Arabidopsis thaliana: one gene and its partners. The protein of the gene in region 1 interacts with the protein of each later gene in a pairwise test. Each region holds a gene or a part of one and is shown in the gene's direction. Other genes may lie near its edges.

The links. Proteins that work in one complex are often made in the same cells at the same time.
Region 2: the proteins of MLO6 (region 1) and MAPR3 interact in a protein complementation assay, tested with the Arabidopsis thaliana proteins (one large-scale study listed by BioGRID).
Region 3: the proteins of MLO6 (region 1) and PAP3 interact in a protein complementation assay, tested with the Arabidopsis thaliana proteins (one large-scale study listed by BioGRID).

What each region holds. Positions count from the first base shown.
Region 1 is NC_003070.9:22,706,163-22,715,150, reverse strand, and holds MLO6 (Seven transmembrane MLO family protein), read left to right. Parts: upstream 1-2,861; 5' UTR 2,862-3,118; coding exon 3,119-3,241; intron 3,242-3,387; exon of another isoform or gene 3,388-3,494; coding exon 3,495-3,552; intron 3,553-3,657; coding exon 3,658-3,914; intron 3,915-3,988; coding exon 3,989-4,105; intron 4,106-4,206; coding exon 4,207-4,267; intron 4,268-4,354; coding exon 4,355-4,518; intron 4,519-4,628; coding exon 4,629-4,723; intron 4,724-4,802; coding exon 4,803-4,852; intron 4,853-4,947; coding exon 4,948-4,988; intron 4,989-5,028; exon of another isoform or gene 5,029-5,075; coding exon 5,076-5,249; exon of another isoform or gene 5,250-5,331; coding exon 5,332-5,367; coding exon of another isoform or gene 5,368-5,415; exon of another isoform or gene 5,416-5,460; coding exon 5,461-5,528; coding exon of another isoform or gene 5,529-5,532; exon of another isoform or gene 5,533-5,682; coding exon 5,683-5,743; coding exon of another isoform or gene 5,744-5,803; exon of another isoform or gene 5,804-5,829; coding exon 5,830-6,276; 3' UTR 6,277-6,683; downstream 6,684-8,988. Other genes in the region: RALFL8 (ralf-like 8), read left to right, coding at 1-70; AT1G61565 (uncharacterized protein), read right to left, coding at 67-76; AT1G61562 (uncharacterized protein), read right to left, coding at 5,340-5,415, 5,972-6,138; AT1G61550 (S-locus lectin protein kinase family protein), read left to right, coding at 7,325-8,564, 8,673-8,783, 8,878-8,988.
Region 2 is NC_003074.8:18,126,602-18,133,894, forward strand, and holds MAPR3 (membrane-associated progesterone binding protein 3), read left to right. Parts: upstream 1-2,850; 5' UTR 2,851-3,067; coding exon 3,068-3,375; intron 3,376-4,358; coding exon 4,359-4,752; 3' UTR 4,753-4,991; downstream 4,992-7,293. Other genes in the region: AT3G48880 (RNI-like superfamily protein), read left to right, coding at 1,272-1,636, 1,843-2,407; AT3G48900 (single-stranded DNA endonuclease family protein), read left to right, coding at 5,253-5,320, 5,410-5,567, 5,781-5,842, 5,944-6,071, 6,212-6,263, 6,340-6,412, 6,508-6,581, 6,950-7,009 and 1 more.
Region 3 is NC_003070.9:5,055,632-5,063,442, forward strand, and holds PAP3 (purple acid phosphatase 3), read left to right. Parts: upstream 1-2,951; 5' UTR 2,952-3,048; coding exon 3,049-3,336; exon of another isoform or gene 3,337-3,754; intron 3,755-3,841; coding exon 3,842-3,998; intron 3,999-4,094; coding exon 4,095-4,202; intron 4,203-4,298; coding exon 4,299-4,426; intron 4,427-4,729; coding exon 4,730-4,858; intron 4,859-4,952; coding exon 4,953-5,020; coding exon of another isoform or gene 5,021-5,024; exon of another isoform or gene 5,025-5,134; coding exon 5,135-5,357; 3' UTR 5,358-5,509; downstream 5,510-7,811. Other genes in the region: AT1G14710 (hydroxyproline-rich glycoprotein family protein), read right to left, coding at 6,537-7,086, 7,176-7,330, 7,436-7,548, 7,621-7,728, 7,807-7,811.

The sequences.
Region 1 (8,988 bases):
AAATCCTTACAGGAGAGGATGCGGAGTGCTCGAAGGTTGCCATCGTGAAACAGGTCCAAAGCCCACCTAACAGCATTAAATATACATTTGGTTGACATGTTTCTCATTGGAGTATTTGGTTATTTGTATACACTCTTTACATCCTCATATTCATCTGTTAATTTGGCTTTGTAATTGATTGTAATCACATCGTGTTATGGTCAATCATATATAAATATTTTAACGATATATCGAGCTATTTTTCAATTTCTTATAGACATTTGAGCGATTATCATACTTCTTGCCACAATAACAAGAACTATGGGAATATACAATAACTATTAATCCCTAGGATGGAACTTGGAAGAGGTTTCACTTTTTGATTTCACTTTCAACAAATGCGTGTGGCCACATAAACTTTTGAGCTTTGACCCAAATGTTTTATCTAAAGTGGGCTTGCCAAAAAGCTCTTGTTAAAAGACTTGATCACCTCTAGATTAATAGGGCTTGACTCGGACATTTGTGCCAATAGGAAACAAAAATGGATAACCAAAAAGAATACCAAAAGCTGTTAGATAGAATAGGAAAAAGTGTTAAGTGATCATCAGTACAACAAATGTCACATCTAATAAACAAGTAACAAAGTACTACACGGTTCATTTACAAATGAGCTTGTTTGCAATCTTCAAGGAAAAAGTAGTATGCAGCAAATTTCTTCCAAGCAGGAACATTTTGTTTGTTTTCGCGATTTGCAGTAGCGAACAGAATTGACCATGCACGTTTGTATTTTGTAAGATTGACGTTGAGATCACAGCCCACCGGGACTGGTGAGATTAAAGCATGTTAGAGTATGTTAGAGTTTTGTAAGGTAAGTACGACCGGATAATACACATATTGAATTGCTATTTGTCATTAATAAATGTCATCACGACAGTCGAAATAACATCATTTGTAGTAGACATGTATGTTGTCGTTTGTTACAATATTTTCTTACCAGATTAGTATTCATTATAGACGTCAATGCATAAAATTACAGATGTACGAACGTATATGTAGTACCATGTGCATGGTTATATCAATATTCGTTTTAGGTTTGTTAGAATGCAAATTAATCGTTGTAGAGCCATGTCCGCATTGCATTGAAAAATGTAAGTCTATAACACAGTTTTACATGACATGTTAATGACTAGGGTTTGCCAAAATATATAAATACTTGATTTGATTAGTTATATGTCCGAATCTGTTTTAAATTATCATACGCGCGCCAATTACAAATTGTTTATCACAATATACAAACTACAACACCATATTTCATTATAGTAAAACCAAAATTTAACTACGAATCTGAACGTAGCCCTGCTTTATGATAAATATTTCCCGAAAAAAAATCATTAGAATTCCTATAATGATAAAAAAAACGCTGGTTCTTATGGTAACACCATGTGAAAAGTGATGACTTTTTCATAGCAGTAGAAGTAGTCAACTACCTCAGATAAGTACTGTAATTAAATAAACTAATTGCCCAAAATGATACAACTTTGTCGCATTAAATTAAAAGTTAAACCTTCACTGGATGCATTACCAAAATGGTCATATAACAATACGTAATCCAACTCGCTGTAGCTATCAATCTCTTTATCACAACCAACCAATATTCAACAATGTTGTTTTATTTATTTTTCATATGGTTTATTTAATCACCTCGACTTTTTTGGCATCGATCACATCTACAAATAAATTGTTAGTTAGCACGACCGTTATTATTACTTTATGAAGAATTGTTAATCTGAAAAATATCCTTTTGATATCAGTTGGAAATATTTTTTTAAATAATTTATTATGTAGAGCTTGCGGCTGAGTCAAATAAAAATAAAATTGAAAACTAAAAGCGTGATTGACAAAATGACTTTAAAGGCTGATTTGTTTTTGAAAAAACCAAGTTCTTAAGAACACATTTGAACCAATCATCGAAATATATGGTGGAAATATATTTCTACCAAAGATTTGTTTTTTAACCAAATAATTGAACACAACGCTAACTGAATATTTTATAAAACTGATACAGATTTATTAAAAATTTTGCTAATAAACATTATAAAATTGCTTTTACCAATTATAGGATGTATTGTATCTCTTGGACTTTAATATCGTTGACGATCTTGACAAATAAAAAGCTGGCGTTTCATTAAATTGGTATTTACAATGAGAAAAATGTGTGGGATCCAAAACTGGATATAGGATTCGCTTTACTGTATCTGGATCCGAAACTCTAAAATATGATGTTTCTTATGATCTGGATTTTTTCAAACTATAAATGATTTCTGAATTTCCGTGTATGTCAACCAATATTTAAAAACAGATTATATTTCTTAAATATTTTTCAGATTTTTTGAAAAATATTCTGTAAATTACAAATGCAAATAAATTATTTAAGACCGTTAAGGATCAAATATGTTTTTAGTTTATTCAAATCTCTCGTTCTCTCATATCGCTATTTTGTACTTAGTTTAGATAAAAGTATTAAGTTTGGCTTCTTAGAATTTGATGTTTCTTTTTTTCGTTTTTGCTATCGACTTTTGTTTTTTTTTTTTTTACTATTTTGTTGTTATTTATCTATTCCTTAGATTTTGGTTTTGTTTCTGATACTTATATTTTCTGTAATTTATGTCGCAACTTCAAAAATAATATAAATACTTTACATTGATATTAAAAAAAAAAAATTGAGCTCTAATGACCTTTGGAGCTCATGCTCATCTATGGAAAAAAAAATCCATGCAGGAAGAACCAAGAGGAAACGGTATACAAAATAATATTAAATAAATAATTATTTGTCAATAAAATAAATAAAAACTCACCAAAGTACATAACAGTTCACACAGCATGTTTTTAGAAAAGATCATATACTATTGGTTTCAAAGTCTTTGACTTTGAATGTTTGAACTTTTCAAGGTTCGCCTACTCGCCGGTCGTCTCCTTTAACCTTCGTCTCTGTGTTTATATAAGAACATATACGTATTTGATGATTACAAAAAGACAATTCTTTATCCTTCTTTAGATTTCTGTGGAAAGTTCACTATTTATTAGGAGAGACAATTTCAAAAAGGAAAGCTTTTTGCTTGGAACTGTTCTGTGAGTTCTAATGGCGGATCAAGTTAAAGAAAAGACATTGGAGGAAACTTCTACATGGGCCGTCGCGGTGGTTTGCTTCGTCTTGCTTCTGATTTCGATCGTTATTGAAAAACTTATTCATAAAATTGGATCCGTAAGCCACTTTCTTAACCTTGTTCTCCTCCTTCAAGATTCTCTGTTTCTGTATCTGTTTAGTTCTTCCCAAAAATCAAACTTGATTGTTCTCACGAACTTACATCAGTTTATGTTTGAAACTGCCAAAACCCAAACGGGTTTTAGTCTTTTTTTTTTTTTTTTTTTTTTGTATGTACTTGTGTCGGTTTCATAGTATCCTCTGTTTCTAATACTAAACAAAACTCTGTTTTTTTTTGTGTTTCTTCTTACAGTGGTTTAAAAAGAAGAACAAAAAAGCTCTATATGAAGCACTTGAAAAAGTGAAAGCAGGTAAATTTATTGTTAATTTAAATCATTATAAAAAGAAACAAGTTTTCCCTCTCAAAGATTCTTTTAATCACCTTTAGTTTTGGTTAATTATATGTGAATTTACAGAGCTTATGCTGATGGGATTCATATCACTACTTCTAACAATTGGACAAGGATATATCTCAAATATTTGCATCCCTAAGAACATCGCAGCATCGATGCACCCTTGTAGTGCATCCGAAGAAGCAAGAAAGTATGGTAAGAAAGATGTCCCAAAGGAAGATGAAGAAGAAAACTTGCGTCGAAAGCTTCTACAGTTAGTTGATTCTCTTATTCCTCGAAGGAGTTTGGCTACTAAAGGTTATGATAAGTGTGCAGAGAAGGTAAATTCTCATTCTATAGAAATATTTTCTTTGTAAGAGCCACTAGTGTGACATTTACTAATGTTTGTTACCAGGGAAAAGTCGCTTTTGTATCGGCTTATGGCATGCATCAGCTGCATATATTCATCTTTGTTCTTGCGGTTTGTCATGTGATCTACTGCATTGTTACTTATGCTTTGGGAAAGACCAAAGTAAGTTCTTTTATATCCATCCACATTCTGATCACACCGGTTTTGATGTTCCTTTTTTCGCTGAAGAGAAGATCTTTTTTGTTTTGTTTCTGTTATTGCAGATGAGAAGGTGGAAGAAGTGGGAAGAGGAGACTAAGACTATCGAATATCAGTATTCACACGGTATAATTTACAAACTTGGAATGAAAAATTGATTAAATGTAAAACTTGAGTGTGAAGTTTCAACAAGGAATGATTCGGATAATGTAGATCCCGAGAGGTTTAGGTTTGCGCGGGATACATCTTTCGGGCGTAGACATCTGAGTTTCTGGAGCAAATCAACTATTACGCTGTGGATTGTATGTTTCTTCAGGCAGTTCTTTAGATCTGTAACCAAAGTTGATTACTTAACACTGAGACATGGTTTCATCATGGTATAAGTCAATCTTTTGATCTTTAACTTTTCTGTTGTATAATAACTTATCTCTCAAGGCAAAGATCTTACAGCATTGCACGAATGCTTCTTCTTTTTCTTCTGTTTCAGGCCCATTTGGCTCCTGGGAGCGACGCAAGGTTCGATTTCCGAAAGTATATTCAGAGATCACTAGAGGAAGACTTCAAAACCATTGTCGAGATCAAGTATGGAACTAATTAAGATTACAAACTCCACTTCACTAACCACTACTTAATCTGATGTTTTAACTGCTTATATCTTCAGCCCTGTGATCTGGTTCATAGCTGTGCTATTCCTCCTGACAAACACAAACGGTACACTCGTTTTCAAAACGTCGCTGCATCGATACCTCTTTAAAAGCCTTCAACAATCCAAAACTAATAGATTACTCTGCTTTTCTAATGAACAGGATTGAATTCTTACCTCTGGCTACCGTTCATTCCCTTCATCGTAAGCAACAACCAAAACCTTTAGACTAAACCTATTTTGTTTCGGTTTCAACTCCGTAACAAGAATGAATGTATAAACAAACTGCAGGTGATTCTTATTGTTGGAACAAAACTTCAAGTGATAATAACAAAACTAGGACTTAGAATCCAAGAGAAAGGCGACGTAGTGAAAGGCACACCGCTAGTTCAACCCGGTGATCATTTCTTCTGGTTCGGTCGTCCACGTTTCATTCTCTTCCTCATTCACTTAGTCCTCTTCACGGTATACATTCATCTTTTACTTTCTACTCTCTCTCCTTACAAAAATGCCTGAAATTTAACCATTTCTTTTTCGCCATCATCAGAACGCGTTTCAACTAGCTTTCTTTGTCTGGAGTACGGTAAGCAAGCAATCCTGCATTCTCCATGAACTTGAAACGTAATAATACCTATACAATCATCATTTTCATCAAAATCTTTTGTTATCTCTTCAGTATGAATTCGGTCTAAAGAACTGTTTCCATGAAAGCAGAGTTGACGTGATCATCAGAATCTCAATCGGGTAAGTGGAAAACATAAGCTTCAAAACCCTTCATAGAAACCATCCCTTAACATCTAACAAAGTCACAACCTTTTGGAAAACATAAGCTTCAAACATAGAACTGAGAAACCATTCCTTAAAATCTAACAAAGTCACGACCTTTTGGATCTTGCAGACTTTTAGTTCAGATTCTTTGCAGCTACGTTACTCTTCCTCTATATGCTCTTGTTACTCAAGTAAGATCCACGCACACACAAAAACACATAAAGATTGAAACTTTCAATTTCAAAAACTGACATTTTTGAATTCAATTTTGGTGAAGATGGGTTCAAAGATGAAACCAACAGTGTTCAACGAGAGAGTAGCAACAGCGTTAAAGAGTTGGCATCACACAGCTAAGAAAAATATCAAACATGGAAGAACTTCAGAATCAACAACACCTTTCTCTAGTAGACCAACAACACCAACTCATGGTTCTTCTCCGATTCATCTCCTTCGTAATGCTCCTCACAAACGAAGCAGAAGCGTTGACGAAAGCTTTGCGAATTCGTTTTCTCCGAGAAACTCTGATTTCGATTCGTGGGATCCTGAGTCTCAACATGAAACTGCTGAGACTTCGAATTCGAATCATCGTTCTAGGTTTGGAGAAGAAGAATCGGAGAAAAAGTTTGTTTCTTCATCAGTGGAACTTCCTCCTGGACCTGGACAAATACGAACACAGCATGAGATTAGTACTATAAGCTTAAGGGATTTTTCGTTTAAGCGATGATTTAATGTTTTCTTAATTCATTATTTAGTGATTTGTTAATATGCTAAATGAAACCAGTTCTTGTAAATTTTCTATACTATGTTTGTTAAAACCAGCCCTTGAAGCTTTAATTTCTCAATGTAAAAGTCTGATGATTTTGGATTTTAAGACTATGGAGATTCATGGGTAGTTGGTGAAGAGTGTTCTTGTCTTTTGGGTTTGAGAGTTTGTGGAAGATGTGTTAGCAGATTTAGAAAGCATGCAAGGGGTTTGATAAAATGCCTGAGTGAGACTTGGTTTTCCTGAAACACAGTGGTTTCTGGGTGTAGATAGATTGGATTGGCGAGGATTGTATTTTGATATGGTTTGTAGAATCTGAAGACTCGTTTTATCGCCACTATTTTTTTGAGTATTGACAAGGTGATTAGGGATCTCTTGTGAATGCCTTCAAGGATTTGGTTGAAATGCAATTTGCTAGATAGCTCTTTAGTGGAATGTTATATTCATGGGGTTCGATGAATGACGGGGTATGTGCAAAATGAGAATTTTAAAAAAGCAATTCGTGAATTTATGCCGGACAAAGGGTTGGAAACCAAGATCATTGGTGCTTTGCATGCTTGTGCTTACGCAGGTGATCAGGACCTAGTGGCCAGGCCAGGACCGTTGTATCTTGGAATACTAGATGGCAGATACGTTGTATTGGGGTCAAAAAAGGTCAGTGGTACAATTCTCATGTTTGAAAATGAATGGTAGCGGTGTTGCCTATTTTTCATTGGTTGTGGGCTCAATTTACCTGAAAATAATAGGTCAACTGTTGCATGGTTGATTGGGTAAACATAAGCATTTCACTTTTCTAGAATCTGTATTATAAAACAAGGTTTTAAGTTGATCGTGAATAAAGTAATGCAGAATCTTGGAAAATGGGTGCTTTGTAGTCAACATTGGTTAGAGGTGCTTCCATTTTCTATTCAGCACTTGACTTTGTTTTATTTGCTTACTTTTCTCTTTTTTACAGTATACATGTTCTCTTCCTACAATAATCTGAGGAGATTGTTCTTGGACATTGGGGATGACGAGGTTTGCTTGCTTTCTCTTCTCTACCTTGCTCTTAAGTTTTAGCTATGCAGCTATAACACCAACAAGTCCTTTGTCAATTGGACAAACTCTCAGCTCCCCTAATGGAATTTTCGAACTGGGGTTTTTCAGTCCTAATAACTCTCGGAATTTGTATGTTGGAATCTGGTTCAAGGGTATCATTCCCCGGACGGTTGTGTGGGTGGCCAATAGAGAAAATTCTGTTACAGACGCCACTGCGGATCTAGCTATCAGTAGCAATGGAAGTCTTCTCTTATTTGATGGCAAACATAGCACTGTCTGGTCCACCGGAGAAACTTTTGCATCTAACGGGTCTAGTGCAGAGCTTTCAGACAGCGGAAATCTTTTGGTCATAGACAAAGTTTCGGGAATAACTCTATGGCAAAGCTTTGAGCATCTTGGTGATACTATGCTACCTTACTCCTCCCTGATGTATAACCCCGGCACTGGTGAGAAGCGGGTATTGTCTTCTTGGAAAAGTTACACTGATCCATTGCCTGGTGAGTTTGTGGGTTATATTACAACACAAGTGCCACCACAGGGGTTTATTATGAGAGGCTCGAAGCCTTATTGGAGAAGCGGTCCTTGGGCTAAAACAAGGTTTACTGGCGTACCACTAACGGATGAATCATACACACATCCATTTAGCGTTCAGCAAGATGCAAACGGGTCAGTATACTTCTCTCATTTACAAAGAAACTTCAAACGTTCATTGTTAGTATTAACATCAGAGGGGTCACTGAAGGTTACTCATCATAATGGCACGGACTGGGTATTGAACATTGATGTTCCAGCTAACACATGTGATTTTTACGGTGTATGTGGACCTTTTGGATTGTGTGTAATGTCCATTCCTCCAAAGTGTAAATGCTTTAAAGGCTTTGTACCACAATTCAGTGAGGAATGGAAAAGAGGAAATTGGACTGGTGGTTGTGTGAGGCGTACTGAACTACTTTGTCAAGGAAACTCTACTGGGAGACATGTAAACGTCTTCCATCCTGTTGCCAACATAAAACCTCCAGACTTTTACGAATTTGTGTCCTCCGGGAGTGCAGAAGAATGCTACCAAAGTTGCCTCCACAATTGTTCATGCTTGGCCTTTGCTTATATTAATGGAATAGGGTGCTTAATTTGGAACCAGGAGCTAATGGATGTAATGCAATTCTCTGTGGGAGGAGAGCTTCTTTCTATACGTCTTGCAAGTTCTGAAATGGGTATGCCATACAAAAATAACATCAAACTTCTTTGTCATTTACAACTTTTACTTCATTTTCACTGATTAGCATGGCTTATTTGTTTATTTTTTGTCTTATATATCTCAGGTGGAAACCAGCGCAAGAAGACCATTATTGCTAGTATTGTTAGCATTTCTCTTTTTGTGACATTGGCTTCTGCTGCGTTTGGTTTCTGGAGATACAGATTGAAACATAATGGTAACATATTGTTGACTTTACTGTGAGCTTTTGCTTGATGGTTAAATACCTAAATGTTAAGCACTAACACATGAATTCTTGAAACTCGAATCAGCAATTGTATCGAAGGTTTCTTTACAAGGTGCATGGAGGAATGATTTGAAATCAGAAGATGTCTCAGGTTTATATTTCTTTGAGATGAAGACCATTGAAATTGCCACCAATA
Region 2 (7,293 bases), on another chromosome or scaffold:
GATACCCAAGAGACAAGAGATTTCTCTATTCTCTCTCTCTTTATCTTCTCTCGCATCGCCGCCCTTCATAGATTAAACACACTCACCTACCAAAGTTGCATACCAGCCGTTAGATTACTCATAAGTGTATTCCACCGTCGGATTTAACTACTTTTTAAAGAGTCAACCTCAATAAGAATCTTGTTCCCAAAGATAAGGGTTTGTGTTGAGTTTAAGACCGGTTTAATCTGAAAACTCCGTCAAACCAAAACCAAACCGATTTATCATAAAAAAATTCATATCATCTACTTCCATTGGCTAGAGACAGATTGTAACGGTGTCGTCGTCGCCAAACGATTTGCCTCTTCCTAAAGGTAGGTTCTTCATTTCTCTCAGTGCCCCTTTGCGTGTTTCAGCTTCTTCTTTATGATCTAATTCATGTCTATGTTTCGTTTGATTCTTTGTTCAATTCTGAATTGAGAAAATGGCGATTCGAGATCTGTCTCTTCGGTTTTTTAGTTCGACTGATTTGGGAATGTGAAGAGATCAGATTGATTTGTTGACAGAGTCTTGGGGGTTTTCAATCTTATTCCTCTAGATTTTCGAAATTCGATTCCTTTACATCAGATTTCGCTTAATTCTCTGTCCTAGTGAGTTTTACGATCTTTAGTCTTCTGGTTTGTCAAATTCTATGTCTTTTCATGTTCTTCTGAGTTTTAATGGTTGATCTTCAATTACTTGGCCACAATCTCTAGAGTTTGAGACTCTTGACTTGTCTTGCATATATTCCTCTGTAGATTGGTTTTATGTTTGGTTTCAATTCCTTGTTGAACTATTCTGATACGGAAGTTTTCCTTTCTAAGGTTTGGTGTTTCCTTTTTCTGATAAATAGTGATGAAGATCGATTATGATGATCATGTAAGAATATAATCTAGCTTTGGTGTTTGTATTGGTTTACCTGAGGGAAGAAAAGTCTTTCTCTTTGGGACTTTAAACTTTGATTACTTAACTCCAACATTATCATAGTTGGGTTCTGTAGTTCATTTCACTTATAGCAGTAATAACTCATTGATTGATGCAATCAATCAATCCTGTGATGGAAATGGAATCATGGAAATTGAGGGATTCAGGGAGGATTGATTGATTAGAATTTCATATTTATGAGAGAATAAGAGAACTGATGTGTGTTTCTTTTCCTACTTCTTAAAGTTGTGCTCTTTCCTATTTCTATAAGCTCTTGTGGATAACAACAGTTGATTAACGTTCTTATGCTTGTTTAGGGTACAACAAGAATGGAAGAAGAGTATGAGAGTCGTCGATTGAGGAGATGGGAAGAGTTGGACACTGACATCTTAGTAAGAATTTTCCAGAAGTTTAGCGTCTTTGAGTTGACTTCGGGATTAGCTCATGTTTGTAGAGGATGGAGAGCTGCTTGTTGCGATCCGATTCTTTGGAAGACGGTGGATTTGTCAAACATGAGATCTAGTTTCATCAAGATCCCATTAGAGCCTTATGTCTATGTGGAACGCCGATCTGATGAGGCCCTAACCCGCATCCTGAAACTCTCCATGAACCTTAGCGGAGGAAGCACGAGGACCTTGATTTTTCATTTCAACTTGTTCTTGAGTGATGATCAGCTTACTTACACCGCAGAAAGGTATGTCCTTTTCGTTCTTCCACTTATTTGTCTTCCAAATTGTTTCATCATGGCCGTAAACTATGGTTTTTTAGTCAAAAGTTGGTTCAGTTTTTGGTTTGGTTAAGTTCATGTACCCACTTTCAGTCAAAATTGCTGAATTACAATTAAGCTGAATCTCGCAAATGCTAAAAGTTGAAAAATTTGTTGTACTGAATATTTTGCAGGTGTCCAGGGTTGAGACGGGTCGTCCTACCGGCTTGGAACAGAATAAAGAAGACTGGTATATGCAAAGCGATAAGAATCTGGAAAGATCTAGAGTCACTAACAATGCCAAGCATCGCAAACCCGCCTTATCTCTTAACAGAAATTGCCAAGAACTGCAAGAATTTTAAAGAGCTGAAGATCATGGGTCCATTCGAGGTCTTCTTTGCAAACACGCTCATCACTTGCCTCCCAAACATCAAAACACTCAGCATCAGATGCTCGGCGATAAAGCGGGAAGCACTGATGAAAATCCTTGACGGATTACCAAGCCTTGAAGTGCTCAACATATCACACTCTCACCTAGTGGAGTACAGCGGTTGGCAGCCTCAGCAGAAGGTGATTGTTAGAGAGCTCGATAAGACGATAATGGAGAAAACAGCAAGGCTAAAGAAATTCTTGACTTGCATGGATCACAAGACGTGTGTGATGTGTCAGAGGACTGAAAACGATGAAGGGATTGTGAGATGGTACAAGTATGAGGAAGGAGACTGGAAGGTTGATGAAGTGAGTTCTCTTCATCTTTGATGTTTCTGCTGTGATCATTCTCTGTGAAGGACTTAACTTGTTATTGTTCTCATCTTTGACTGTTGAATTGTTTATTTCTTTGTGTTGTTTGTTTTGATTTGAATCGTATTATGTGTATATATCTGTAGGCTATGCCAATGAATGTCTGTAGTGATCAACTTTTGATCACCACCAACCTTGCACACCAAATAGGAAAATAAAACAATATTGTTACAATTATTTGTCTTGATATTAGCATTATTAGTCACATTTGTTTTGCAAATCATCTACCTTTTTTTTTTGGTCTATATCTTATTCTTCTTAGTTCTTACCTACCAGTCTTCTCCGGCGGCATTAACGACACCGTTTTATCGAGCTCAGCCACCACTAGTTAGGTAACGATATATATTCTTAAAAACGTTTAGAAAATTTCTATGTATGTTTCACACGAACAAAAAGAAAATATTTTTCAGACATCAACGGTCATTATGGACGACGACTGTTAAACAAAATCGTTTAAAATTCTTGTTGCGTAATTTGACCATTTTATTTTATTTTATACCAAAAATTGAAGATATTATATATATGTTTTAATTCGATCGCAAATAAATCTGAAAATTAAAACACAAAACGTTACTCTTCTCTCTCATTCTCTTTCGCTTCTCGATAGCTTCTCAAATCATGGTTCAGCAAATATGGGAGACGTTGAAGGAAACAATCACAGCTTACACTGGACTTTCTCCAGCTGCGTTTTTCACCGTACTTGCTCTCGCTTTCGCCGTTTACCAAGTCGTCTCCGGTTTCTTCGTTTCTCCTGAAGTTCACCGACCTCGTTCTTTGGAGGTTCAGCCTCAATCGGAGCCTCTTCCACCGCCGGTTCAGCTCGGAGAAATCACTGAGGAGGAGCTTAAGCTTTATGATGGCTCCGATTCTAAAAAGCCCCTTCTTATGGCGATCAAGGGCCAGATCTATGATGTTTCTCAGAGCAGGTATTTCTTGTGAAATCTTTACTTGTTCATTAAATTATGATTGAATCCAAATGATCACTAGTTAAATTACCAGTAATAAACGATTCAACCCAATAGTTTCGAGATTTGGGGTTTAGGTTAGTTAATCATGGTTGACTGTTTGATTTATAATCCGAAGTTTCCAATTACTATCTATCTTATGATTCTAGTATATCTACTGATGCTCGAACTCTAGTTTAAGTGATTCTTTATTGTAAAACTGAACACTTTTAGTAAATCTTTTTGATGAATATTCTCTCCTTTTTGTTCATAATCTTATGATGCTCTTTTTATTGCTTTTTGCATCTTAGTGTTTGTTTTTTCACTTCTTTTCTTGGAACAATACCATTAGAAGCACTGATACAATTGTATTGTATTCAAGTTATCGGAAAGATCTCTACTTTTTCTTATACTAGAAAAACCTGTATTTAGATTACATCTTGGATTAGTAGAGATTGATAACGTACAAACTCGTCAAAGGTTTGGCTTCTAATATTGCTATTGTGGCGAAAGAGATCGTTCACTGATTAATTATCCACATTTGCTTGCTATTTGTGTTCCATGACGTTTGTAAATTAAGTTTTGGCGAACATTGTTGGTATGTAACCATGCTGCAGTTGTCTAGATCCCTGACTTGTCAACTAGACAGTTCTTTTACATTCCAGTTACCGAAAACTTCGTTGTGGTAATTAGGTTTTGTGCTAGATGAAATAATCACTTCAGTGATCATACCGTTTTGCTTGTTCATAGTGGCGACAGACACAGACACACTCATCAACGCATATACATGTCGATGTATATGTATGCATAACTTTTAGTTTTTTTCTTGTACATAGTTCATCAGCTGTACTACATATCTAGATGAATCATATTCATATGTGCCAAGCTGTAGTTTTTCATTCTTCAAACTCTACTTAACTCTTACTGGTCGCTAATTTGCATGACCATCTGTTCTTTTTATGCAGGATGTTTTATGGACCAGGTGGGCCATATGCTCTGTTTGCAGGGAAAGATGCAAGCCGAGCTCTGGCAAAGATGTCATTTGAGGACCAAGACTTGACTGGAGACATCTCAGGTCTCGGTGCATTTGAGCTAGAGGCGTTACAAGACTGGGAGTACAAGTTCATGAGCAAGTATGTCAAAGTCGGAACCATTCAAAAGAAGGATGGAGAAGGCAAAGAAAGTTCAGAACCTTCCGAAGCAAAGACTGCCTCTGCGGAAGGTCTTTCTACAAACACTGGAGAAGAAGCTTCAGCAATTACCCATGATGAAACTTCTAGAAGCACAGGCGAGAAAATCGCGGAAACCACGGAGAAGAAAGATGTTGCAACTGATGATGATGATGCTGCAAAGGAGTAAAGTCAATGTAATGAGAGGCACAGTTTCTCTTGAGAAATTAGTGAGATTTTTCAGGGTTTAAGTATGAGTCGTATATAGCTCAATAAAAATGGTGACCTTGTGTGTACTTTTTGGATCTTGTATAATGACATCTAATTCTGGTTATGGAAGCTTCAAAATACATTATTTCTACAGTATTAATCGATAAACAGTTCTATAATTCAGGGTTTGTTCACTTGTTGTTTATGCTTAGTTCATATTTGACATCCTGCTATGTGCCTGGTAATTGAAGATGGTTCAATTCCTAAAATCGAAGCACCAACTTACATTTGATGGTAGGTCTGTTGCCGAACCGAAGTGAAGAATTTGCAATAATTTTGGTTTCGGTTTGGAACCTTCAAACCGACCGGTTTCGAATTATTATTGAACCAAATTTTCAAAATTCAAATATCTTGTCAAATCATTTTCTTCCCTCTTTCTGTCTCTGTCTCTCTCTCTCGCTCGATCTCGAAGGTGAAGCTATGGGAGTGAAGTATCTTTGGGATGTCTTGGAGCCTTGTAAGAAGACTTTCCCACTCGATCATCTTCAGTGAGTTGTTTCTTCGTCTCAATTTCTCTTTAATTTTTCTGGGTGTTTAAAAAGACCAAGTCTTTACGAGATCTTCGTAATCGCTGTAGAAACAAAAGGGTATGCGTGGATCTTTCGTGTTGGATGGTGGAATTGCATAAAGTGAACAAATCTTATTGCGCCACTAAAGAAAAAGTTTATCTTCGAGGATTTTTTCATCGTCTCCGAGCCCTAATTGCCCTAAACTGCTCCATCATTTTAGTCTCAGGTAATTTAATTCTACCCTACTGTTGAAAATTGCCATCAGAAGAGCCAATTAGGGTTTATGTAGTGTTGTATTGTTGTCATTGTGAATTGATTTGAGTAATAGAAGCATGAGTGGTCAAATCAGTTCTTATTTATTGATGCTTTGCTCTAAAGTTTAGTTTTTTCAATGCTATTGAGCATACTTGACTTGTTGGAATGTGGCATGTAATTGTAGATGGTGCAATTCCTGGAATCAAAGTACCAACTTACAAGCGTCGGTTAAAAGCAAGATTCGAGGTACAATGATGTCAAATGTGGCACTTGTGGTTTCATCCTTGCATATGATGGCTAGTTTTTGGATTGTTTTTTTCGATTTCGTGCTATATTGGTTCAGCCAGATCGCTGACGATGGTGTTGAGCCTAGCAAAGAGACTTCACTCAAAAGAAATATGGGGTCTGAGTTCTCGTGCATCATAAAAGAGGCGAAAGTTATTGCATCAACACTAGGGATACTTTGTTTAGACGGGTAGGGCTTCAAGACAGTTAGCTTAGATTGACAATGAGACTTTGGTTTGAGTGTTTAACTTTGCTTATGAGACTTTGGTTTGAATGTTTAACTTTGCTTATGAGAAACTGATTCTGTTCTGTATTTTCCATCAAATGCAGGATTGAGGAGGCTGAGGCGCAATGCGCTCTGCTAAACTCGGAATCCTTATGTGTAAGACGCATTTTTCAGCTTTAATCAGTTTCTTGTTCGTCATGCTGTTAACCCAATATTCAATGATCATCCATAGGACGCCTGTTTTAGCTTTGATTCGGATATCTTCCTTTTTGGTGCAAAGACTGTATACAGAGAAATATGCCTTGGTCAGTGGAAAGAGACTCTTTAGTGTGTTGGTTTCTTTTACCGTCTGATATGGTTAATAGTATTATAAGTCCTAATAAATTTGCCAATGAACTAGGTGAAGGAGGTTATGTTGTTTGCTACGAGATGGATGACATCAAGAAAAAGCTTGGGCTTGGACGGAACTCATTGGTAAATTAACAAACCTCTTTAAGTGATTAGCTTTATATACTTAACCCTGATCTTTCGTTTCTATAAAGCTGCACCACGTTATTATAAAATGATTAGATTGGTAGAAGCATGAATGCAATGCTTGCAAAAGGTGGCCTTTGATATTTTATAAACTCAGGTGAGATAGATACTATGTGTATGAATGGTTCTACTGCAACGTTGTAGCTTTAAGGGCTCAATTCCTTTGTTAGCATCAGTAGACAAGAAAACCAGCTACACATTGTTGAGTGTTGACTATTATTCCATGCGTCAAAGAACTTTAAAATCTTAGCTATGTTTCATCAAATGGTAAGGTCATGTATACAATGTTTTCTTGGGTGATGTTACAGATAGCTCTAGCGCTTTTGCTTGGCAGTGACTACTCTCAGGGAGTTCGTGGTCTTCGACAGGTGTGTAGATAACTCAAGCTTTTAAACCTCCATCTATCGGGGTCATATGTTATTCGAGGTTGTCTGTTTTATTTAGAATTGGATTACAAAAGACTCACGATTAAACTTCTTCTGTGTACAGGAGAAAGCTTGTGAGCTTGTTAGGTCGATTGGAGACAATGTTATCCTTGAAAAAGTTGCATCAGAAGGACTTTCCTTTGCGGAAAAGCCGAGAAAGTCTAAGAAGCAAGTTAGGCCTTCTGTGTGCAGCAAAAAGGGGACCTTACCTTTGGTGGTTATAAATG
Region 3 (7,811 bases), about 18 Mb from region 1:
TAGTCTTATGCATCCAAAAAAAAAAATTGTAATTTAAATACTACTATCGACGTTGAAATGAACCTTTAATCATGAGAATAAAGAGGTAAATCACTTTTGAATGATGAAATGCAGAAATAGTATTTGTTTTGAGTGAAGCTAAAATTAATAGAAGATGTGTGTATATTTTACAAGAAAAATATGCCAAATTGGTCTAATCAAAAGCAAGGAAGTGGTGGTGGCCAATGTCACTCCACTCCACTAATTTCATTAAGAATAAGTTGAAAATCTTATTTCTATATTTAATTTAATCAGCAAAAAAATTAGTATCATTATCCAAACCTTTCATTATTGCTTGCCACAACTGCTAATTTTTTTTTTTTGTTGTCTGAATTTTATTAAAAACCCAAGGTAGAATACCATTTGAAATACAAACGCCGGCAGACCAACTAAATGTCTCCAAAAACTAAGCCCAAAAGAGGAAAACTAAGCCTCAACGGAACGGAGAAACTATTTAGACCAACGAAGAAAACAAAAGACAAATATCTAAAAAAGATCAACCGTTAAGGGAAAACGAAGATCTAAGCACTAAAATTGCGCAAAAGAACCAGGAACCCTCACAAAGCTTCCCCAAAGAAACGGAAAACGTCGGAAACACCAATAAGATCGGAAAGAACTCACATCGAAGTCAAACCACTAGCAATCCGACAGGGAGGAAAGCAAGAAGCCACCAGAGCGAGAGACACAACTACTAATCAAATAAGCAATTATTATGACATTATATATTGAATTTCTGATATTTATGTTTGTCTTATAACTATGTTAATATCTCACACGTACTGACAGAACAAGCAGCCTTACTTTAGAAAGTTTAGAAGAAGACAGAAACAGGATAATCCCAAACATTGTGTTGGGTTGCTTGAATTATTAGCCGACAAGTTGAGTTCTAACCACTTCATTCATAAATAAAGAAGTCAGCTGATGAAGATTATACAACAATCTTTGTCATAAACTACGTAAAGATAATGAAGTAGCTAGTCCTGTATATATTATCTTATGTTTCCTGGTACTAGTTCTGGTGCGACTGCTAAAATCTAAATTGTCGTCTTTAGATTAACATTTGTTTTTTTTTTCTCTCTATGAAAGTACTAAATTTTCATAGGATAAGCCATTCAAAATATCAATTACAGTGACTATTGAGTATTGACTAATATTATTTGAACTCACAACTCACCTACATGTATTAATGTTTGCATTATTTTAGTGATTGCTAAAACACATAAGTGTCACATGACATATATATCATTGTTTAGGCTAAACATATTATATATATGGTCTATATTATAGATATCGATCCAAGTCTATTAGCCAATCCAACACTAAAACAATCCTCTTGTAAATGAGTAGCTCATGACGACATTATTCTGTTTCATTTTGGAAGCATTAGCATCATTTCCACACACACGTGTTGACCTAAAAAGGCCTATATTTGTTCTATTTATAAAGCCTTAAATTAAAGACTCAAGCAATATCACATGGATCTAATATATAATCATATGTTGCATAGAAAAAAAGAACAAAAAAGAAATAGAGAGAGGTGGTTGAATGATTTAGGCTTTACATCAAACCCACTGTTTCAATAATTTTGTTAGGTGTGTGTGTGTATGTGTGAATACAGCTAGAGAGTTTCACGAAGAAGCTGGTTGGTCAAAACTTTTGACTCGAAAGGAATTGCTGACAAATCGATCAATCAATTTGCTTCAGAGAGAAAAAAAAAACACATAAACACAATTGACATCTCTCTATCTATACGGTCCGATACTAGACTTGGCGAACCAAACTAAAGATACAGTAGGACACTGTGACTGTCTAGGACCACCAGAGATATTCAGTGAAGTTTCTATAGTCATCATAAGTCAATCTTGCTGACTACATCATACTAATAGGAACTATAGTCGTAAGGAACATATATACCACATTAAGCTTGTTTCTTTTGATTAACTCCTCAAGTTGTTTTCAAAATACTCGACGAACTAGACTGAATCAGCAATAAGACCAAACATGTAAAATAAACGTTGCAGAAGTTAATGCTCATTAGTTTTCTCTTTTGTAAGAACATACAAACACACAGGTGACAAGTTTTGGCCAAGAATTACAAAATAATATGATACCTTCATAGTCATACCTCAGAATTAATGTCCTAGTCGAGAAGCAGAAGTTTGTTTTTATAGATCTTTCTTTTCATTAGAGAAATGGGTATCGGCCCAATAACATAGGCCAACCCATTTGCATTTATTTTCTCATATCCAGTAAGGATATACTTTCAAATTTTTGTATAAATGGGATTTTGATTTTTCTTTAATATGTTGAACGAATTTAGTAAACTATTCACATTATTTTATGTTCAGAACTATACTGTAAAATAACTAACGGTCAACAATAATTGAGAGAATTTGGAAGTTTTCGTTAGACTCACATCAATAATGTGACTCAAAGCTAATAATTGCAATTTCCGACAAATTTGTGGCATGGGCGTTTATGCTGTCTTCTACTCTTCTTGTATGACAACGCACATACCCGAGCTTCGTAAATTTTATTTCTATTTTTTTCAAGTATATTTTGTTTTTAAAATGCGATTTTAGAAAGAATTTGTGTGATCAGAATTCACGGTGTAATAATAGTTTGTATGCATACTGTTGTTTGATGTGTCATAATCCAAATTTAGATAATATGTTTATGTATAATGTTAGAAATAAAAATGTAGTAGAAATTTACGTATATTTTCACTGATAATAGAAATTTTCAAATATCCTTAAACTGTCAATATCCAATTTCTTTATGTTTAAAATATTTCAACAGCTAATTTTCAACCGCTATTTATTTTATTTAAATTTATCTTGTCATTATATTTCGTTATTGATAAATATCTGAAAAAGTGGGTGACAAAAAAATTACCGATTCAAATTATTGTAATAAAATTGACAAATCAAAAGATTGAAATAGAAAACAAAAATGGACTACATTTCTCAAAATGGCAAATAATTTTTATTCATATTTATCAACCTCGAAATGACCTACATATATAGAGACACAAAGATCACAACAAAATCAACCATTCCTTTCCTTATCTTCTTCCTCTTTTGCTTTTCTAATCTCTCAATGGCTACCTTAAAACACAAACCTGTAAATTTGGTATTTTACGTTTATAATTTGATTATTATATTCTCCTCCCATAGTTCCACGGCGGAGCTCCGCAGGCTACTGCAGCCATCAAAAACCGATGGTACAGTGAGCTTTCTCGTTATCGGAGACTGGGGAAGAAGAGGCTCCTATAATCAGTCCCAAGTAGCTCTTCAGGTTACTTCTTATTTTCATTTACAAGTTATTTACTATATTTCTCGCCTGTACGCATATATATAAATATATAATGCAAATTCAATAGTGTATAATTAATACGTATTACGTAAACATATATATGCGTATGCCTTCAAGAGCATACGTGATATGAGGATCAAATTTACTGGTCTTCATATTAATGCCGGCCCTTATGTTTTTATATTATTCTTTTTTTTTCTTTTTTTTATTATTATTATTCAATTTCAATATATATTACTAATTCTTGAACACCATGTTATAAGATACCATAAAAAGAAAGAAAGTCATGTTAGAGGAACTTGAAAGATTCGGTCTGTGTTAAGAAAACAGCTTTAGTGTACGAAGATATTCTACATATGATTTTTGTTTGTACTGTTGTTTTGCAGATGAACTCAATGTGGTAAATTTTATGCTAGTTTGATGTTTTCTTTTATACTGTTGTTTTTAGTTATTTTATGCTAAATTATTTCACACGAAATTTAAACAGATGGGAGAAATCGGAGAGAAATTAGATATCGATTTTGTGATTTCTACTGGAGATAATTTTTACGACAATGGTTTAACCAGCTTGCACGATCCTCTATTTCAAGATTCTTTTACCAACATTTATACCGCTCCGAGCTTGCAGAAACCTTGGTATAGTGGTAAATGTGTGGTTCAATGTGTACATTCGTCGTTGGATCTTAATTATTAAACGATATGTGGTTCAATGTGTTAATTACATTTTCTTTAACCTAAAGTTTTAGGAAATCATGATTATAGAGGTGACGTCAGGGCACAACTTAGCCCTATGCTCAGAGCTCTGGACAACAGATGGGTTTGCATGAGATCTTTCATTGTAAATGCTGGTAATTCCTCCTATATAATATTTCTTCAAAAGTTAGAAATATTTTATTAATCCTCCAATTATTTTTTTATTTTTGTTAATTTCGTTAACTGAACAGAGATCGTCGATTTGTTCTTCGTCGACACAACTCCGTTCGTCGATAAATACTTTATTCAACCAAATAAGCATGTTTATGACTGGAGCGGTGTATTACCTAGGCAAACATATCTGAATAATCTCTTAAAGGTAACAATTTTTTAAGTAAATCTTCCTTTCTTTCTTTTTTCGTCGAAATAGAATTAATATTAACTTAGGAACGTCATTATATACGTGTTTTGGGCAAAACATTCCTTTTTCTTTTGTTATGATTGGATTTTTTTATAAAGTTATGATTGGATGTTAAACGCAGCTTTTATTTTGTCTATTTTCAAATGGAATCGCGTTTTAATTAGGTATGTAATGCGATATGATTAGAGAACAATCTGCCAATGCAACTTTTTTTCTTTTTACGAGCGAGTGACTAACGAAAGCTATAATGTAATAATATAGGAACTCGACGTGGCGTTGAGAGAGTCAGTCGCAAAGTGGAAAATAGTGATTGGTCACCATACGATCAAAAGCGCAGGCCACCACGGGAACACCATTGAGTTGGAGAAACACCTTTTACCTATTCTCCAAGTAACAAAACCATTCCATTCATATAATAAAGTTTATGCACCAATAGAAAAAATCTATCTAATTAAATCTGTTTTTTTTGTTCTCGATTTACTAGGCAAATGAAGTGGATCTCTACGTAAACGGACATGATCATTGCTTAGAGCACATAAGCAGCGTGGACAGGTAGAATAAATTTATTTATTTGTTCGTTAATTATTTTCTTATTAATCAATTATTGTAACGTAAGGGTCCACGTACGGGAGGATATAAAATGTCACCATTTTTGGTTGCATATAGTAACATACAATTTATGACAAGTGGAGGTGGATCCAAGGCCTGGAAAGGAGGTGACGTGAACTACGTTGAACCAGAAGAGATGAGGTTTTACTACGACGGACAAGGTTTCATGTCGGTTCACGTTTCAGAAGCTGAACTGCGTGTAGTCTTTTATGATGTTTTTGGACACGTTCTGCATCATTGGAAGAAGACTTACAAGGAGGCGCTTTATTTCGCTTCTTGATTCCAATTTAATCGGACGTAATTGTTTATGATCGATGTACTATGAAATTATCAATATCGTACTTCGTCGAATTTTCGAATCACATTATGATATGACAAGAACATATCAGCAGCATCAGAAAAAAAAGTCAATGAAATCTTTATTGCGTAAAAGTACAGTTTCAAACAAGATATTATTGAAAATTTGTAAGATGTGAGATTAACTAGAAATACTGCATGCATATACTGTATATACATATCGAATCTAAGCATATTAAAATGTAAATATCATCCTCTCTTACGCTTCCATATTAATTAAGTTAATTAATTTTCGTTATTCTTATCCAATTTGATTAACAAGTTTTCCCGAAGCATGCGTGCATACAGTACTCTTGTGTAGTTTGTAGGGACACAAAATGGGTCCGATTCTCATCTATAAAGATAGATAATGATTTTGTTACATGTCTTTTGTCCTGTGCTCAGATTCTCTTCAATCATGTAATATATATAGATAAGTTATAGTGAATTATGGATTATATGATAAGATAAATGATATACAACTCTATGTTGTGGATGAGATTCTGTCACATAATTTCACAAGCCCCGGATCTCTCATATTTGATCGCAAGAACACTTTTGCTCATACCAAAATTATCTCCCAAAAGAAATATAATAGTCATTCTATTAAGGCTTATCTTATTTTACTTTTGGTGAGACTTAATAGAGTGGACAAAGGAATGAAGACATGGGCCACTGCCATGAACCATGGGACCGAACACACAGCTGAACTTGTATCACACAACAGAGATAAAGGCTTCATATCTTAGCTTTCGAATCCCAAAAAATATTCCAAGAAGAAAAAAAAAAAGTAACTTTCTTGAGAATCTTGAGACACTTTGGAGAAAAACAAAGGTATATATATATATGCATGTGTAAGAAGATATTATGATTCAGTCGAAACGAGGCAGAGATAGAATTTGAATAGAAAGGAAAGGATATAGATGAATGATTTTAGAGAAGAGAGTAGAAAACGGGTAACTTTTCCTTGTTTTGACTCTCCTAAAAATAATTTCTCAAGTGGCAAAAACAAAACGACATTTCATCGAATTCACCGCTCTTTTAACAGTTTGTAAACTGCACCTCAGATTTCATCTCCCAAAAACTATTCTCTCTCTTTGCTCTATCTTCTCTTCTTCAGCTACTAATTGCTCTGTTTACCGTTACTGCCATCGCATTCCCCTTCACCAAATCCGTTACGAGCTTCTTCTTTCGCCTTCAAATCTAATTTTCCTTCTGTTCCGTTGCTGTTGTCAGCCAGTTCTTGATTTGAACCGGGTGGGAGGAACACACCAGTGCCTGGGATGGGCATTCGAGGTTGTGGTGCTGTCTGGTGTCGTGGATGAGGTGGCAGCAGTGGCCAGACAGGCGGCCCGGTTGGTACACCACCTGGGAACGGCATTGGAGAGGCAAGTGGAGGAGAAGGAGGGATGAAAATCGGTTGAACAGCTCCGTTTGGTGGGCGGTGAGACGGAGTGGGCAAGACACCAGTGGACGGGATAACAACAGGGTAGTGTTTAGGTGGGCCGGTTGGGTGACGGATGTGCTGATTTGGCGATCTGCTCGGCGGTGGTCCCCAGTTAGAGTTTCTCGGTTTAGATTTGATGAAGCTAATGAGTATCCGTTGCTTTCGGGTTGCGTGAATTGCATACTTAGCAAGATTTGCGGATTTGCCTTCCACCAAAAGAACCGATCTGTTCAAAGTTCAAAGTACCAAATATAATTGATGATAAAAGGATTGAAAGATCTTGATTTTACAGAATAAGTGATATGGATCGGTTACCCGGGAGTGAGAGACAGCTTGAGAGAGCCTTTGTAGTCGCCGGGATTTTCAGAGACAATGACTCTTCCAAATGTATAATCACATTCAGACAAGGACAAGACACTGATGGGTCGTCCAAACCAGGGAACAAACATATGAGGCTGCGAGTGATCTCCCTATGGTTCACAATAACAGAGAAGACACAAGAAAACTTCTACTTTGTTAAGAAAACAGAAACAGATAGTTTTAGGGGTTGCAAAGAATTTAGCAATCAGTTTAACCTCGCTGAAGAAATCAATGATGCATGCGTCTGGTTTCACAGGTATGATTTGCTTTGAGACCAAACGTTCAATGATGTCTGAAAGAGCTGATGGGATTGGCTCTATTCTTCGATCTGCATAAAGCCCATATCTCATGTTAACCAATACACAGAAATTATAAGTAAATAACATTTTAAAGGACTTGCCTTTGATACTATCATCATCAGGCGGCGTATCAGCTATAGGAAGACCGAGTTGGATCATCTCACGTCCATGTCCTCTATTTGGCCGTTTATAACCCACATATGCCTCACCTGTTTCCCATTAACCAAGGGTTTAATACCTGACTAAAACAAGTTAAATCATTATTGTAGGGCAAACAAGATTCTTACTTTGA